Linked DNA regions of Drosophila melanogaster. The protein of the gene in region 3 binds, or shares a complex with, the protein of the main gene of each other region. Each region holds a gene or a part of one and is shown on either strand. Other genes may lie near its edges. The genes, in order: rig, Gem4c and Smn.

What was found.
Region 1: Smn (region 3) and rig share a complex: the UniProt entries of both Drosophila melanogaster proteins name them as parts of the core survival motor neuron (SMN) complex.
Region 2: Smn (region 3) and Gem4c share a complex: the UniProt entries of both Drosophila melanogaster proteins name them as parts of the core survival motor neuron (SMN) complex.

The regions. Positions count from the first base shown.
Region 1 is NT_033778.4:20,634,274-20,642,911, forward strand, and holds the start of rig (rigor mortis), read right to left. Parts: upstream 6,409-8,638; 5' UTR 6,309-6,408; coding exon 4,877-6,308; intron 4,819-4,876; coding exon 4,506-4,818; intron 4,449-4,505; coding exon 4,286-4,448; intron 4,224-4,285; coding exon 4,070-4,223; exon of another isoform or gene 4,045-4,069; coding exon of another isoform or gene 3,301-4,044; intron 3,242-3,300; coding exon of another isoform or gene 2,892-3,241; intron 2,836-2,891; coding exon of another isoform or gene 2,199-2,835; exon of another isoform or gene 2,119-2,198; intron 1,800-2,118; coding exon 907-1,799; intron 850-906; coding exon 684-849; intron 625-683; coding exon 474-624; intron 416-473; coding exon 158-415; intron 96-157; coding exon 1-95. Other genes in the region: CG13436 (uncharacterized protein), read left to right, coding at 2,199-2,835, 2,892-3,241, 3,301-4,044; maf-S, read left to right, coding at 6,813-6,845, 6,893-7,273; CG11110 (uncharacterized protein), read left to right, coding at 7,564-7,657, 7,723-8,144; Tcs1 (Threonyl-carbamoyl synthesis 1), read right to left, coding at 8,304-8,638. UniProt on the Drosophila melanogaster protein: Component of the survival motor neuron (SMN) complex that catalyzes the assembly of small nuclear ribonucleoproteins (snRNPs), the building blocks of the spliceosome, and thereby plays an important role in the splicing of cellular pre-mRNAs.
Region 2 is NC_004354.4:3,942,489-3,948,960, reverse strand, and holds Gem4c (gemin 4c), read right to left. Parts: upstream 3,919-6,472; 5' UTR 3,706-3,918; coding exon 3,588-3,705; intron 3,535-3,587; coding exon 1,372-3,534; intron 1,313-1,371; coding exon 858-1,312; 3' UTR 501-857; downstream 1-500. Other genes in the region: Gem4b (gemin 4b), read right to left, coding at 5,054-5,508, 5,568-6,472. UniProt on the Drosophila melanogaster protein: Component of the survival motor neuron (SMN) complex that catalyzes the assembly of small nuclear ribonucleoproteins (snRNPs), the building blocks of the spliceosome, and thereby plays an important role in the splicing of cellular pre-mRNAs.
Region 3 is NT_037436.4:16,579,898-16,583,505, reverse strand, and holds Smn (survival motor neuron), read left to right. Parts: upstream 1-1,958; 5' UTR 1,959-2,054; intron 2,055-2,118; 5' UTR 2,119-2,323; coding exon 2,324-3,004; 3' UTR 3,005-3,108; downstream 3,109-3,608. Other genes in the region: Rpn12 (regulatory particle non-ATPase 12), read right to left, coding at 1-406. UniProt on the Drosophila melanogaster protein: Core component of the survival motor neuron (SMN) complex that plays an essential role in spliceosomal small nuclear ribonucleoprotein (snRNP) assembly in the cytoplasm, is required for pre-mRNA splicing in the nucleus and acts as a chaperone that discriminates target and non-target RNAs of Sm proteins.

The DNA.
Region 1 (8,638 bases), on a different chromosome or scaffold from region 3:
TGATTTGGTCCATAAGATCGGCAATTTCCGGAGTGCAGTTGCGGTATTTTCTTAGATAGGAGTATCCACGCAGCATCTCATTGTCCAGAACGCAGCTGTTAAGTGATTCAGAAAGGATGCTTAAACATTTGTCTATAGTTTAGTTTTAGTCACTTACATCAGAGCTGCTGCTGCAAAGTTACCCGTCCCCTCCAGATGCTCGAGCCAATTGTTAATTACGGTCTTGATCAGGGGATCCGTTGCTGGCAAGCAAATACGCGCATGTACAAGGGCCTCCTTATAGTATTCATTGGCCAGGAACAGTTTGATGGCTTCCGATTGCATTCCTTGACTAAAAAGATACGTAGCTGCGTGCATGATGTAGCCTTTTTCCTCCATCTGCTTGGCATAAGCGCGACAGCAGTCCTGCCAAAGTCTGCAAGAAATATAGACTAAAGACAAAACCGATTTACAACAAAAACGTAGAAACTTACGTAAAAGAAACGGAGGGAGCCAGCGAAACATGGCGTTCGGTAAGCGTCTTGTTGGCTATATGCTGCTCCAGCTCCTCGCGTAATTTGAACGTGGACATGGCCAGGCAAAGTGGAGCTATGTCTTTGGTGTTTGAGTGCTTCAGATTGGTCACTGAAATATTACATTTATCGTTAGCATTTTAAATACTATAAGTCAGTTAGTGAAATTACACTCGGTTGCAATGAGCTCCTTGGCCATCACTTTTGAGCTGAACAGCTTCGATATGAGCACCGACTTGTCGATCTTGGCAGAGTCTTCTGTAAGAACAATGGCCAGCTTCTCAAGGGCACTTTTGTTGAGCTCCTTCTGGGTAAGGTAAAGACAGGTGCGGCTATGCTGTTGGTAAATATGTTATTGGGTTTCAGTCGAATCAAGAGCACATGGATAACTTACTGTGAAACTGTCAGGTGACTGCTCTTTACACTTTGGGCATTCTTTGGCACTTCTATTATTTTGCTCCTTGTCCAAGCTAAGCGCTTCCAACATCTCTTCAACAGGAGTTTCTTGCGTACATTTATCGTTGGTTGGATTATCAATAACTGCAGTAACTGACTCCTGAATTTTCTTTTGATCCTTGTTAGCTACGTCAACTTCGAGCTTAGCCGCTGCTTTGCGTTGATCCCGGCGCTGCCGTTTCTTTTCAGCCGCTGTGAGAACTGGAGCGTATGGCTGGGTCAGGGATTTGCTAGCCCACTTAACATTTAACAGAGCATCCACCTTGGGACAGATGCTTTTCTCATCGCCTTCCAGCGCGTCCTTAATGTCAATTAGCTCCACGGAGAGAGCTTTTCCCGAGCACATAATGATGTTCTCGTTGGTGGGCAAAAACATTCCACACCACATGGGGCAGTGGTAGGTGATGGTTAGCGGTGGCTTCTCTGGCGCATTGCAGTTCCACAGGCACACCTTTCCCTCGATATGAAAGGTGAGCAGCAAGTGCTTCTGGGTATGACTCCATCTCATCGAGGTAATCGACGCCTTCTCTGTGTTTGCCGTAAATGTGTGAAGCGTTTTCCAATTGCGCTCCGTGGGCTGAAACTCCATCACGTACACGGACCTATCGTTGCCCGACACTGCAAACTTATTGCTGTCCAGCGGGCACCAGGCGATATCGGTCACATAACGAGCAAACAAAGCGGATTGGCGGATAAATGGAGACCACGACTTCTCCATTCCCGAATCGCGCTCATGGATCTGCAGCAGTCCATCATCGGTGCCAACAAAAAGGAAAGAATCGCGGATGCTGAGGTAACTGGGTCGAGAAATGCAGTTCACAATTGTGGGCTCTGTAAGAAAATAATAATGGCATATTTTAAATTAACTTTATATGTATCTTTGACTAGCTTTACCTTTAAGTAATACATACATCCATTAACTTAAAACACAATTAAATCTAGTCAGAATGACGAAAAACTCTTTGTTTTAAGTCCATTGTTGTCTTTTAGGTCCGCACCTAATTGTGCGATCATTTTAATGATTTGTGGGAAACAATTAATTAAAACAAGCCTAAAAGTCTCGAATAACAAAAGCTCGATGGCATGAGTAATTTGTGCTACTTGAAGAAAATGAAATCGATTAAACTGTAGCCAAGGGCAACAAATATCACACGTATCAAAAACTTAGCAAGCAAACCACATTACACATTTCCTTTCATCGAAATAGGTTAAATTGTTCTGTTTACCAAAATGCCGCGACACAAAACTCTAGTGAGCATTGGTCATCGTATTATGAAGCGCTTCAAACAGTTGGATCTCAGGGTCGACAAGGAGTTTGTCATCTACATGGTTCATTTGCTGGCAAGAGATCGGCGCAAAGGTCTCCTGAAGTACGACCTCAATAAGCCAACCGCCTGTGCCATTGAGGGTTTCGTGAATACAATTGTGGATAGCTATGTCAATTCGAAAGATTGCACTATGGCCAACATGAAGATGGCTTGGGTAATGAAAAAGGGAGTAACCATAGACCTTGAATACGTCAAGAAGAAGTACGAGGAAAAGTTCCAAACCGAACTGCAGCTGCTAATCAAGGATATCCTTCAGTATCCCGAGACTTGCAGTAAAGTGCAGTTGGACCAGCTCTTCGCAAAGATGCAGGTCTTCATAGTGGCCTGCTACAGTCTGGGCTCGCCCAAGAATCATGTTCTGCTTAAGCTGACTGCCCAGGCTCTCAACAGCGTCATCGGTCGAAGTGACCTACAGAATTATGTCCTGAAGAAGAAGTACCATCGGCTAGAGTATCTTCAACGCTTGTCGGCGACCGTGGGCGGCATTGTGATCTATAACAACGATGGCCCCGATGGAGATCGGGAGAATGTTAGAAGCGGTATGTGCATATAGGGCAAACCATTTCATATTTCATATCTGCTGTATACTTCTTAGTGGTCGATGATCTGGAAATGGCCCAGAAGAACACGGAAGCCGCATTTGCAGCCAGTATGGGAAGGGCGGTCAAGATGCAGTCCACTTGCCAGGCGGCACTGGATGACCTCATAAACATAGATCATAAGGACGAGACCTTGACCTACCGCGTGCCCCTCGAACATTTGGATCGGCTTAACCAGTTTGCGGCGACCTACTTTATGCTCCATCGCTGTCTGACGACTCTGAACGAACATTACCAGAAGACAGTGTACCTAATTGAAGTGGAGCATAAGCGATATCAATGCGTGATCTGCAAGATTGATGATACCCTATCCATGCGCACGGCTATTGATTCGGAGCTTATATTTGTAAGTGATGTATTCATTTAAAAGATGAGAATTTCTCCAATTTCGTTTCCCGCTTTCAGCCGCACTTTGTGTACCTCTCTCAGGTGTGGGGCAATCTGAACAACTACCTGAACCACATTGTTGAGTTAAACAAGCTGAGGGAGCAGGTGGAGGCATTGGTCGTCGACGACTTGATGACCCTGACAAAGGCTACGATTGCCGAGCTGCAGGCGCTTCATAAGCGGATAAAGAAGCCCAAGGTCTGCAGCTTTGAGGAACGCATGGATGCCGTGAAGGAGTTGCAGACCGATGGCAACTTTTGCAAGCTCAACAAGGCAGATATAAAGGAGTTTTGCTCTCTAGCCATGACCATTACCAACGGCCTGCTTATGCCGGCCCAGGTGACCAGAAAGCTGTGCTCCAATGTGGACATTACATTTGGTTTCCGGGACCCAAGATACGCTCGATTCGCGGAGCTGCGATTTGAGCCTTTCATAGCCGCCTTTAGAAAAGTGGTTTTCAACAATGCGAACCTGGCTCTGCTGTTCAAATTGGACGATGCGCTAATAGAGCAGGAACTGCAGAATCTGGTAGTTGAGCCACCAAAGCAGACAGATTTTGAGTGTCAAACCGAAATGGTCGTCACCAACGACCTAACGCCAGCAAACTGGATAAACGTAACATGGAATGCGTGGGATTATCATCGGGAGACAATCCACTTGGCCAATATACGTAAGAAGCAGACCAACGACGCGCAGACCAACATTAGTTACGGAAGGCGCAACGCACAGAATCAAACCTACAACTGTCGGCAACATAAGTAGAGAACGGCTAAGAACATATACTCACCGATTTTCGATTTTCTTAAATCAAAGAAACCTAGAACACGATTCACAATAAAGTATATAAAGTGGTCCTGCCACACAAGCGAGTAGACTTCTTTTTTGTGCGGCGTCCGTAAGTGTGTCTTTACTTTCATGCGCTCCACATCCAGGATGCCCACCTGTTGTTGAGTTGTATATTTAGGTTCAATATCCAATAAAATAGACGAAATCAAAGCCATACCGTTCCGTCGAAGGTGCCAAAGGCCAGTTCCAAGCAGTTTGGACTCCAAGCCAGGCAGTAGACGTTGCTGGACACATAAACGCTGTCGATGGGCAGGCAGCTGGTGGTGAGCTTCGATATATCGAAGAAGGCCACACGGCGATCCGAACAACCCAAAGCGATTCTAAACGAAAAACAGTTTAGCAACGTTTGCGAATGGCATATTATCTTATTAGCTTACTTGTTCATATCATCTGGACACTCGGCCATCGCTCGCACTCCAAACGCCACTGTTCCGTAAAAGTCAGCCATCCGGCCAGTTTTAGGATTCATCATTCCAATCTGGCGATTGTTTCTGCACAACCATATCATCTCTTTGCTGGAGTCACAGGCAAAGGACACGATGTCTTGCAAATGGCAGCTGTGTGATTTATCCTTGCTGATCTTGTAGCGTAGCATCTTGCGCTCGAACTCCACGGACCAAAAGAATAACTGATGGCGACTCAGGGAAACAATGACATGGTTGTTCAGCCAGTAGACGTTGTTAAGCTTGCCTGAAGAAAAGATCCCAGTTGAATGCTTGCTTTCAATGGTTTGATTCTTTCCACTTACCCGCCGTCTTGCTTTTGCTGTAGTTCTTGCCAGCATGCGCTCCCGTATTGGTATTCCAGATCATCATCACCTCATCGCCGTCAATGGACACGAGCAGAGTTTCCAAGTGGGTGCTGTTCACGGATGTCAAGCTGATGGTCTCCGCGCTGATGGCCGGCACAACTTGGAGATTACTCTGAGGCTCAGACTTGGTCTGCGGTGTTCCTGAAGCATGTACCTCGGCCTGGTGGTAGATGTGATGCAATACTTCTCTTTTGGGCTTTGCTGCCTCGCCATCGACGATCACGGCATCATCACTGGACGAGCTGTACTGGATGACCTCCAGACTGCCCTCGGTCGAGTCGCTGGCATCGTTCTTGTTGCTAATGGTGCTGGCATCACTTAAGGGACCCGTAGGCTTTGTGGGCTCGCAGTCATGCAGCGTGACCTCCACGTGCTGCGTTTTATCCTCCTGGCGACTGGCTAAGAGTTCGGCTTTCACACTCTCGCAGGCCTCAACGAAATCTAAGACAGCGGCACCAGCTGGCTTCTCTAGACCCACAAATTCGCCGCCACAATCCTCTGAAGATTTGCGGCGGCGTTCAGCTATAGGTGCACCGAACTCGTACTCAAGATGATCAAAGTTGTATATGTCGAAAGGGTCGTCGGATTCGGCTGCCTTCGATTTGGTCAGTGGTGGTGGCTTTGTCTTGGGTTTCTCCTCCTGGCCGCCATTGCGGCTTCGCCACTCTTCAGCACTTAACGCCAGATTATTGGTTTTTTCGTCCTCGGCAGCAGGCACCTCCCGCCAGGCTAAGCCGCATATGGGCGCTTTGTGGCCGTGGAACTTGTAGACGATGTTCATTTTGCGCAGATCGCAGACCAGCACATTACCCATAGCCGTTCCCACAGCGAACAAATTGTCATTGTAGGGCGAGCAGCGCACCATAGTGAGTTGGTGATTTCGGGGCGAGATGAAAGTGGAGCGACGGCAGTAGGTGTTGGATGCCACACAATAGATGACCAGATCACTGGCGTCCATGGATAGAATGTTACCATTGGCCAGGTAGCTCATCAGCACGGAGTTGGTAGTGTGGTGCACGACGCGCACATCCCGCGCCTCGTGCTGGTGCTGATGGGCCTTGTGCCCGATGACGGCTTCGCCCAATGCGCAGTCCCACACCTGAACGCTTAGATCGTCGCCCACAATGGCGAATGGCTTGGTCGGCCCACCGTTGCCCAAGCCCCACATGGGACTAACGTCCAGGGCCAGTATGTTGATCCGCGTCGACATGGTCACCACTTGGGGCTGCTCTCCGTTTGCCGGCGGCGCGGATATGTAGTTGATGCAGCGAATGCCGGCGTACAGCAAACCGCCGTCGGGAGCAGCGGCCGCCAAAGATACGTTGCCCGGCGGTGTGGGCACATTGTGGTACATCACCTGCGAGTTCATGGCGAACAATAAGGACTTGGCATCTGCAGGATGAAGGAATATTTCCCGCTAACAGTTGGCGTCGTTCGGGGAAAAAACTTCTGTAAAGCTGTTAGTGTTAGGCAGCTTCTTAAACTTTGCCAGCGATGCCACCTGGAAGGCACGGAACTTAACAGTTAATTAAAATTGATAATAATTAAAATATAAATTTGTTATTTTCGAACTTGTATTTATAACAAAAATCTGGATCTGCTTTATATAAATAATTTAAAAATATAACTAAGTACCTTATGCTACAAAGCCTAAAATCTAGGGATCACGTTAGCTTTAGTATATTTAAATTACCCGCTATTTACCACAGACGTTTTTTGTCTATCTGCCAACTCTATGCAATCCATTTCCTGTGAATGGCAACCAGCAGGTAGAGAGGAAGAAGAAGACACACAATAACAACGCAAAAAAAAAAGGTAGAAAAATCTAGCAAATTCTAAAAGTCTCCGTAAAAATAAAATACAATCGGCCACAATGGAAGCAAAGCGCGAGAGAAAGTCATCCCTGGTACGTACCTTGTAGATATATGCGAAGAAGAAAGAAAACCCTGATAGAAGTGCGATTTTCAGGCACCACTTTCGCCATGTCCAATTCCGGATATTACCGATGACGATTTGGTGAGCATTTCGGTAAGGGATCTTAATCGGACCCTCAAGATGCGTGGCCTGAACCGCGAGGAGATCGTTCGGATGAAGCAGCGCCGGAGAACCTTAAAGAATCGCGGATACGCAGCCAGTTGCCGCATCAAGAGAATCGAACAGAAGGACGAGCTGGAGACTAAGAAGTCGTACGAGTGGACGGAACTGGAGCAGATGCACGAGGACAACGAGCAGGTGCGCCGCGAGGTGTCCAACTGGAAGAACAAGTACAAGGCGCTGCTGCAGTTCGCCATCCAGAACGAGATACCCATTCCCAGCGAGCTGGAGGGCTGCTGAACGATTGCCCAGTCACATTCCTGTTTCTGTCAAAATTACAATAAACCCAAAACGGAAAAAAACACCTGTAACTAAAGTACAATAGCTGGCAAATATCCTTCCTCAATAAACGTAATCTGCTCAAGAACCTCTGCATCGCCTTTATTGAAGCACCCTGTATTTAGCATAAACAAAACCCGTGTCGGCGCTGCGCTGCGAATGTCATAAGATCCGGAGCGCACAAGGAACTCGGCAAAAGGCTGGTGGTTATGTATTCATCTCGATAGCTCCGCTCTCCAACCAGTTCATCCATGGCATTTCGGTTCTTTGGCAAGTCCTTGCTGTACGCTCTGCCACTTGGCGTCACTTTCCTGGACTGCGTTGGTTATGTGGCCAGGGTGGATGGTGAGTCGTCCGGAGTTTATTCGCTCCATGTTAGTGTGCGCTAATTAATCCACAACTTTTTGCAGGCATCTCCATGCAGCCCGCTCTCAATCCCGTGCCGGATGAAAAGGACTATGTGTTCCTGCTGCGCTGGGGCACCCACAACAGTCAGGTGGAGCGCGGCGACATAATATCGCTCATTTCACCCAAGGATCCCGCCCAGAAGATTATCAAGCGCGTGGTGGGGCTGCAGGGCGACGTCGTGTCCACGCTGGGCTACAAGCACGAGATCGTTCGCGTACCCGAAGGACATTGTTGGGTGGAGGGCGATCACACAGGCCACTCCATGGACAGCAATACCTTTGGACCCGTCGCCCTGGGCCTGATGTCCGCGCGGGCAGTGGCCATCGTGTGGCCACCGGAACGCTGGCGAATACTGGAGAACGAACTGCCGCGGCGACGGAGACCCATACAGGCCTCCAAGAACTCCAGCAACTACTACAACTAGACTGACCAACTGGCGGAGAGCCTGCGCCCAAGATAGTTCCAATTGTGTACATACTGAACCGTATATTTTATAAACAATTTGTTGTGTTCCCGCATGCAAAGCAAAGTAGGATGTTCCAAAGTAAAAATTAAAGTTAAAGCCAAAGGAATAGCTCTTATACTACATCATTTTTAGCTCCCGAATGCCGAACTCCTCCATGAGGCTGAGTGTCGGCTTGAGAGCCACGCCGGCGCGCACTATTTCATAGTAGCCAGGAGTGGCCAGGTCAATGACCGTGGAGGCCAGTCGTCGCTCCTCGGTCAGACCGATTCGACCGGCATCGAAGACGGCGCCCAATTGGGGCCATAGGGAACGGAACTCGGACACCTGCAGACTGCTGGGCGCACTGGAGCGATTGGCGCTGGTCAGGGCCAGGGGCTTCTCCTGCCACACGGCGCACAGGTCGCGCATGAAGTTGAAGTCCGGAATGCGTATGCCGATTTTGGAGGTGCTGG
Region 2 (6,472 bases), on a different chromosome or scaffold from region 3:
GATATTTTTAGTTTAGCGACTTTTCGATACTTGTCAAGCATTGGTCGTTAAATTACCTTGTAAAATATATATAGTGTTTTTTAAGACAAGATATTTTTTCTATTTTTTTTTATTTAGGTAATTTGAAAATGTTATTAATAACAATTTGCACCAAAATTTTCCTTTCCCTGAATAATGCCATTCAGCTTTTGACAGAATATAAATTAGTTAAATTTATAACATAACGAGTACATGAAATTTAAAAATGTATTAAAATAAATTTTCCTAGTTTTAAGTTACAATTTTGCAACAGGAAGCAAAGCAGTCGAAGTAATACATAAAAATACGAATAAAAATAAGAACATGCAAAATTACAATAATTTTAAGCTTGCCAAAGCATTTATTTAATAGAACACAAATTTGTATTTGATGGTAGTATTACATATTTTATGTAAATATAGTCGGCCTTAAGGACACACAAAGTTGTAAAATAACCTGATATCAAATTATTCTGATGTTCAATCATAGCGTTTTGTATATTATATATATAATACATAATAATACGAAAAAAAAGAACATGCAAAATTTTATTAATTTTCAGCTGAATAACTTCACTTGCTTGCCAAAGTATTTTTAGTAAGACAAAAAATTTGCATGGTAGTGGTACATTTGTTATGTGCATACAGTCGTCCTTTTAAAGGACATACAAAGTTGTAAAATAATCTGATATCAAATTATTCTGATGTTCAATCCTAGCGTTATGAATATTATATATGTTTTTAGTCATATAGAGATCTGACTGCCTAAGAATTAAAGTGTTGGACAAGCGGCGGAGTTTCGATTTGGCTTAAGAAAATTACACTTCTAACAGCATCTCCTTAACACTTGGCCGCCTGCTGTTCCTGGATATTTATGCCGAATCGCACAGCGAAGGCTTTACTAGCTAGCTTCATAATCTCGTTGCGAATGGAGAATGGAGCCTTGGCCACAACGGCCATCAAATGATCCCAATGCTGGCGCTTCGTGATGGTCTTATTGTGTTTGGCGTGGCTCCGGAAGGCGATCAAATATTCTCGAAATAGGAATCTAAAGGCCATGAAAGCGGACTCGCTGTTCACCTTGACCACTGCATCGCTAAGATCGCCCATAACAGCACAATCGGCCCTTTTTTTAAGGAGCTTTTTGAAGAGATCGTTAGCCTCCTGTGCACTGGACTGAGTTAGCAATTTGAGAAAGGAGCGTGTGTCCTTTAAGGTGTCTTCTTTAAGGTAGATGAGCCAAAAGCCCTTGTGCTTTAAACTGTTCACTTGGTTCAAGATCCTCTGGCGGCATTCTGTGAAAGAGCAATAATTAGTAGGCTTTCGTCTTGGACTTACATTTATAAGAGCGCACCAGTGCCTAGGAATGTCAGATGAGACAGACCGTCCTGCCAATACCACACCGCCAGTTCTAAATTATCCACCCGGAAATCTTCAAAGGTGGCCAAGTCCCAGCGTAGGGCATCAATGGTTTTCATGACATGCGAGATCAGCTTCCAGTGTTTCAAACGCCACTCTGGCAAGCTGGCATTCAGATATGTGTAGTGCTTGGCCACCTTGACAGCTGGTGCATCGTCTCCGTTCTCCAATTTCGGGTGCTCCTTTTCGAGTGCATTTAACTCTGCAGTGCCTCGGGTGATTAGATTGCTTTCACCCAGACTAATCTGCTTGAGCAGTTTCAAGATTAACTGCAAGCTGGGCAAGTTCATGGGCTCTATAAACTTGGCCAAACCGTAGGCACACGCGTCTAGGAACCTATTTTGCGCCTGCCTAAGCTCATCCTCTCCGTAGGGACACCGTCCGTCTTTCAAACTAACGCACAGTTGTCGCGCTGACGTGTAGAGACCGTTGAGGATCTGTCGGTGGCCATATAGGTAGAGTGTAAACTGCAAGGCATACGGCTTTTGAAGTAGTTGCTCGTTCACCAAGATGTTATCGGCACAGGCGGAAATATGAAAAGCAGCATGCTTGGGACAAGACTGAGCTATGTGCCAGAATAGCTTCGAGAAGCGAGTATGCGTCACGCCCAAGTGGGAGAAATCAATCCAGGTCTGTCTTGCGTTCTCAAAGCACAGTACTAGAAATTTGGTTATCGGGAAGCGCTTATTATAATCCAATTGATTAAAGAAGCGTATGCGACGCTCCCGATGATCGGGAGCCTTGAAATTAAATCCTTGGGTAACGTTTTGCTCATCGCGCAATAGCAGTACTTCCATCTTGTCCTCGACATTTAATTGCATAAATAAGGGACGCAGTACTAGGCTTAGCAGCTCTTCGTAATCATCGTTGGACGAGGTCTCGTCCTCGTCATCCCCCTGATTTACTTCCGTAACGGATATGCCCTCGTCCTCGACCACCATTTCGGACTCCACCACCTGACCCAGGAAACTGAGTATTATCTGGGCATGTTTCTTGGTGAGCATAATTAAATGATTTGCCATCGTTTCCACGCACTCATCGTTACCAAAGGCTATGAAGCGGCTAAAGAGATTGTCCAGCCCGGCGAGCAACTCCTCATCGGTGGCCATACCGGAATCGAGAAAGACTAAGAGTTCACCCATTCTCATCTCGGCAACGCGCTGCTCCAATGTTTTTGCTGCATCCGCAAAGCTCTGCATCTGCTTGCAAACCGGATGCTCTCCGAGCATATTATCTGATTGGAGTACTTTAAGCAATTCTGCCGTCTGTCTACAGATTAGCTCCTGGCAGTTATACAAAGCACTTTTCGATTTCATTTCATGCCAATACATATACGTGTCTACGCTAACGAGCTGAAAGATACGCCGCAGAACGTCTAGCAGTATTTGGGCGAAATGCCGCAGATCAGGCATGGGATCGCTTGAGTTGCTGTCACTGATGTCCTCGGTTATTTGGCTGTAGACGGCGAAGCAATTTGGTTTCTCCCGCTTTAATGGATCATTGAGGGTATACAAAAGGACTTCTATAAGGTGATCCATAGCCTTGGCCAGGTAAATCTTTCGAGTGGATGGACGCGGCAGCGTATGGAGGCGCTGTTTAGAGTCCAAGATATGACGATGTTCCATGCAGGCTATCTGGCGCAGCAGTTGCTTATTTTCTGCGGGCAAATTGCAGTTGACAATTGCGCGACCGGCTGCTCTGAGGGCGGCAGAGAGCAGCGGTAGTGTTTCCACGCAATCTGAATTAATGACCGACAGAGCCTCATTGAATGCCTCAAAATACTGGATGGTCAGCCAGCGGGGTCCACAAGCAAGGAATTCCTCCAGCGGCTCCATGAGACAGCAGTTAACGGCTATTGCGATGGTCAAGAACAGTGGGATAGGCGGAAGCTGGTTACACAAATGCATGACATTGGCGCTCCACTGCGATTTGCACAAGAAATAGTCGTGTGCGGTGTTCAGCACCAGGTACACCAGTAGTCCACGCAGTTGATTCATAGCAAAAGGATCCATTGTGTCTGGCGGCTGTATGATTAGATCGTGCTCCTCCAGCAGGTCCGTCACTTGGTCGCAGATCTTCTCAATGTGCTCATCGTTTCCTGAGAACAAACAATGTTCATATTTGGGCACTAACCTCTGGTACTTCACTTACCACTCCAGTAAATCATATCTTTCAGACACTTGGCCTGTTCGTTGTTGTCATGGAATATTTTCTTCAGCTGGACAAACAACTGGCAATTGTCCAGCGGGTGCTTCTCAGCAGTTATCATCGTGCTGCCGAAATTTCGCGTTTCGTCAAAACTCTTCCGAAGGAATTCAATTTTATGTGCGTCTTCTGTCAGATGACTATCGAAAATCGATAGTTTACCGGTGCGTACCGATTATCTTGCGTGCAAGGAATATTTTTTGAAAATGAAAATGTCCCTACAACAAAAAATTTCGCTTTGTAATAGACTCTCTGATGTAGATAGATACTAATATGACTTGTCCACTGCTTGCTATGATTTAACTTTAACTTTATTTATAAACATTTTCATATGATATTTTGTATTTTGCTCAGCTGAAAATTAAATGAAGATATTTTATAAAGTATTGTAATGTATTATTCGATAATTAATTATTTGTATTATTATTGTAATGTTTTATTCGATAATTAATAATTGACATTATAAATATTGCGACTTCTCCAAAGTCAACTGCAGTTTTTTAAACAGTGGTCCTATTTAGCAAATGTATTTAAAATAATGCGATTCGCATGCGGCATTTGAGTTTGAAATCTTTTCGATACTTGTCAAGCATTGGTCGTTAAATTACCTTGTAAAATATATATAGTGTTTTTTAAGACAAGATATTTTTTCTATTTTTTTTTTTATTTAGGTAATTTGAAAATGTTATTAATAACAATTTGCACCAAAATTTTCCTTTCCCTGAATAATGCCATTCAGCTTTTGACAGAATATAAATTAGTTAAATTTATAACATAACGAGTACATGAAATTTAAAAATGTATTAAAATAAATTTTCCTAGTTTTAAGTTACAATTTTGCAACAGGAAGCAAAGCAGTCGAAGTAATACATAAAAATACGAATAAAAATAAGAACATGCAAAATTACAATAATTTTAAGCTTGCCAAAGCATTTATTTAATAGAACACAAATTTGTATTTGATGGTAGTATTACATATTTTATGTAAATATAGTCGGCCTTAAGGACACACAAAGTTGTAAAATAACCTGATATCAAATTATTCTGATGTTCAATCATAGCGTTTTGTATATTATATATATAATACATAATAATACGAAAAAAAAAGAACATGCAAAATTTTATTAATTTTCAGCTGAATAACTTCACTTGCTTGCCAAAGTATTTTTAGTAAGACAAAAAATTTGCATGGTAGTGGTACATTTGTTATGTGCATACAGTCGCCCTTTTAAAGGACATACAAAGTTGTAAAATAATCTGATATCAAATTATTCTGATGTTCAATCCTAGCGTTATGAATATTATATATGTTTTTAGTCATATAGAGATCTGACTGCCTAAGAATTAAAGTGTTGGACAAGCGGCGGAATTTCGATTTGGCTTAAGAAAATTACACTTCTAACAGCATCTCCTTAACACTTGGCCGCCTGCTGTTCCTGGATATTTATGCCGAATCGCACAGCGAAGGCTTTACTAGCTAGCTTCATAATCTCGTTGCGAATGGAGAATGGAGCCTTGGCCACAACGGCCATCAAATGATCCCAATGCTGGCGCTTCGTGATGGTCTTATTGTGTTTGGCGTGGCTCCGGAAGGCGATCAAATATTCTCGAAATAGGAATCTAAAGGCCATGAAAGCGGACTCGCTGTTCACCTTGACCACTGCATCGCTAAGATCGCCCATAACAGCACAATCGGCCCTTTTTTTAAGGAGCTTGTTGAAGAGATCGTTAGCCTCCTGTGCACTGGACTGAGTTAGCAATTTGAGAAAGGAGCGTGTGTCCTTTAAGGTGTCTTCTTTAAGGTAGATGAGCCAAAAGCCCTTGTGCTTTAAACTGTTCACTTGGTTCAAGATCCTCTGGCGGCATTCTGTGAAAGAGCAATAATTAGTAGGCTTTCGTCTTGGACTTACATTTATAAGAGCGCACCAGTGCCTAGGAATGTCAGATGAGACAGACCGTCCTGCCAATACCACACCGCCAGTTCTAAATTATCCACCCGGAAATCTTCAAAGGTGGCCAAGTCCCAGCGTAGGGCATCAATGGTTTTCATGACATGCGAGATCAGCTTCCAGTGTTTCAAACGCCACTCTGGCAAGCTGGCATTCAGATATGTGTAGTGCTTGGCCACCTTGACAGCTGGTGCATCGTCTCCGTTCTCCAATTTCGGGTGCTCCTTTTCGAGTGCATTTAACTCTGCAGTGCCTCGGGTGATTAGATTGCTTTCACCCAGACTAATCTGCTTGAGCAGTTTCAAGATTAACTGCAAGCTGGGCAAGTTCATGGGCTCTATAAACTTGGCCAAACCGTAGGCACACGCGTCTAGGAACCTATTTTGCGCCTGCCTAAGCTCATCCTCTCCGTAGGGACACCGTCCGTCTTTCAAACTAACGCACAGTTGTCGCGCTGACGTGTAGAGACCGTTGAGGATCTGTCGGTGGCCATATAGGTAGAGTGTAAACTGCAAGGCATACGGCTTTTGAAGTAGTTGCTCGTTCACCAAGATGTTATCGGCACAGGCGGAAATATGAAAAGCAGCATGCTTGGGACAAGACTGAGCTATGTGCCAGAATAGCTTCGAGAAGCGAGTATGCGTCACGCCCAAGTGGGAGAAATCAATCCAGGTCTGTCTTGCGTTCTCAAAGCACAGTACTAGAAATTTGGTTATCGGGAAGCGCTTATTATAATCCAATTGATTAAAGAAGCGTATGCGACGCTCCCGATGATCGGGAGCCTTGAAATTAAATCCTTGGGTAACGTTTTGCTCATCGCGCAATAGCAGTACTTCCATCTTGTCCTCGACATTTAATTGCATAAATAAGGGACGCAGTACT
Region 3 (3,608 bases):
GGATGACGTCCACGGAGAGCAGCTCCAGTTCCGTGTGAAAGTCGGATACCCGGTTGCCAGACAAGAGGTACAGCAGATTCAGACCGAGCAGCTTATACTTGCTCTCCGATTCGCCAATGATCTTAGCGTAGTCATAGTAATAGCACTTCAGCTGCGCCATGTAGCGCTCGAAGGCGAGCAGGTCCTTGCTGAGCACGCTATGCTCCACGGCCACCTCAAGCACGCTCCTAGCCAGGATCAATTGCTTCTTGGAGCTCTGGGCATCGTTTCCGTCCGTCGGCAGGAAGGCCATCTTCACGAGCGCTACTTTCAGTTGATCCAGCAGCTGGCCGCATTTGACGGTGTTTGGTGGCCGCTTTGACCACTCGGCGGTCAGTTCTTTGTACAGCGATTCCACGTTGGCCATTCTTTAGATTGGTATATTGAAGCTTAAATGTTTTCTGCAAATTCCCAAGATGATTTTCGCTTTTTTTTAGAGATGGCAATTGTTGTAGGGTAAAGCGATAGGACAATCGTTATCGGAACAGTTATCGATTGTCAAGTTACCACAGGGCTGGGAATATTATTTAAGTGTAAGTTTAAGTTGAAAAATACATTTTTTAGACGAACTCTATATAGTTTAACAGTTTACAACTGAAAGCTTTATGATTTGATCCAAGGGGTATTGTATTTCCTTTGTGCTTTAATATCGATATATTTTAACAAACTATCTAATGGAGTTTAAATCTAAATTTTCGCATTTAAGCTCGGACTGTTTATTCAATTAGTGATTGTCTCAGTATAGTTAAAAATTTCGGGTATTGAAATCACGTCTATTTGACCTTGGGCATAAGTTTTGTGTCAAGAATAACTTAAATTATTAAGCGATTCAGAACTCTCATTCTTTGTGGGTCTTTAGATGGTACCGCAGTTGCGTGTTCGTGAAATAGCTTTTGGAGCACTTGGTGCATGGGAACGGTCGCTCTCCTGTGTGGCTCATCATGTGAATTCGAAGATGCGCATTCTGGGTAAAACGCCTTAGGACATTGGGAGCACTTGAAGGGGCGTTCGCCTGTGTTGATTATTAGATGCCTTTTAAGATTGGAAGCCAGCGTAAAATTCGATGTACAATGGGGGCACCGTTTTTCAGTGTGTATTGCAATATGTCCCGAAAGATGCGATACGCTCTTCAAAGCCTTTGCTGCTAAGCAGCAAGTGCTGCTTAAGTGCTGAGTTTATCCAAAACCTCGTTGGGCAATGAGGACATTGAAGCAGCTTATCATTATCACGTCCTTTATTTTGCAATCTATGGTTTTCACAACTATCATAGTCTTCGTCTATTACCTCAATATTGACTTGGCTATTGGATTGATCGCTGTCACAGTCCACGAACTGATCATCGTCTTTAAAGAGGCTCGTTCTACACTAGACAACATTCCCATTGGATCATGCCACTGCCTCGCCAATCTTCAACTACACTTTCGAGTTCGACAAAATGCTGAAAAGCACCTCCATCGATACTCGATTCCCCATCCTCGGAATAAGATACCTTGCGGAATCGGGATTCCTCCATTAACTAAACGTAAAATTATTAGCTCCTCTGGTGGGTTTTTCTAAACTCGAACGCATTTTGTGCATCTTGGCAGCAGGAGGTGCAAAATGTTTCGGGTAGATGATCGCCTTTTTCCACTTTGAGGCCAGTGCACTCGGAAATGATTGACGCTATTGAAGCTTCAGTGCCGTGCTTAACTTCAAAAATATTGAACTCGTTTTCACATTGCCCGAGGCAAATTCGGCACACCAACCCCAACTCCATACCTCCGAAATTGAGTTAAAAAATTTAGCGATCTCGCTTTCAGGTCGGATCGATCAATTTATTGTTTGTTTATTGTGTTAAAGATGCATGCTGATAAGTATCGATACTATCGTGCGGTTAATGGGGACGATAGGTACAACACCACTCACAATAAAGTATTTTTAGTGGAAAGTATAAAAAGAAGACTTCAATTAAAACAATAAATACAATACAATTACATTGGAAGTATTCTGATTGCATTGTGAATGTTGGCCACAAAGTATGAAAACTTTTTTCAGCTTTACTGAATTTAAATATTTCTTAACCATTTCGTTCGCTTTCAGAATAATATAATACCCAGAATGACTTCATAAATTTTATCACATCTTAGTTTGAATGTACACCTTTTAGCGATAGTTTCATGTTTCGGCCTGTGCTGCTAAGCGGTGATTCGCCTGCGCTTTCCAACACACAGCAAATTCGCATAAAAGCGAAACTTGGTTCTTCCTTTAAAAACGTGATACTTGCCTGATAGGATAGAAAGCCGAGATGTCCGACGAGACGAACGCCGCGGTGTGGGATGACTCCTTGCTGGTGAAGACGTACGACGAGTCGGTGGGACTGGCCCGCGAAGCTTTGGCCCGCCGCCTCGCCGATTCCACCAACAAGCGCGAGGAGGAGAACGCTGCCGCAGCTGAAGAAGAAGCTGGCGAGATCTCGGCCACTGGTGGGGCTACCAGCCCGGAACCAGTATCCTTCAAAGTAGGCGACTACGCCAGGGCCACCTACGTGGATGGTGTGGACTACGAGGGCGCTGTGGTGTCTATTAACGAGGAGAAGGGCACCTGCGTACTCCGCTATTTGGGCTATGAGAACGAGCAGGAGGTGTTGCTCGTGGACCTCCTGCCGTCCTGGGGCAAGCGTGTGCGTCGCGAGCAGTTCCTTATCGCCAAGAAGGATGAGGACGAGCAGTTGAGCCGCCCTAAGGCATCCGCTGGTAGTCATTCAAAGACTCCCAAGTCATCCAGAAGGAGTAGGATCTCTGGCGGACTGGTTATGCCGCCCATGCCACCAGTACCGCCCATGATTGTCGGACAAGGGGACGGCGCCGAACAGGACTTCGTGGCCATGCTCACCGCCTGGTACATGTCCGGCTATTATACGGGCCTCTACCAGGGAAAGAAAGAAGCCAGCACCACTAGCGGAAAGAAAAAGACACCCAAGAAGTAATTCCATCTTATCTCATCATCACATCACATCTTTTCGAAAGACTTGTAGATATTAAGAAAACAGAACGATTAAATTTATTATATTAAAGAGTCAGTATCGTCATGGTGGGATCTCGTTTCAATTGCTACATAAATGGAAAAAAAAAATGCCGAGGCAGGCAGAAATTTAGGTTGACATTCAATATGGCCACTTGAGAAAATCAGTGCTTCGATACATTTCGTAGCGAGCGGTTGAGTTTGTAGTATAACGGAATTTTCATAACCTTCGATAGATCGTAGAATGGCGATATTTTAGCTGGCAGTATACAAATCAGAAAAGAAAAAAAACGGATATTTTGATTGGTAAGCAGACTTTCTTACACTGCAATAGATTTCTTTAACTTTGGGTATCGTGTAGCTGTTTTAAAATCAGAAGCTGAAAAATTTTATTGATAAAAAATAAGATATAATGATAAAGAGAGTACATGGTAGTATTGCCTAATTAACAAACTAGCTAAAAATGCGCTTGGACCTTTTAACCGTCCATATTCAACACTGCCAAATGCATCCTTTATTTTCACAGGCTTACGATTTGAAATATAAGTGGTAAATCCTTCTCTTTTGCA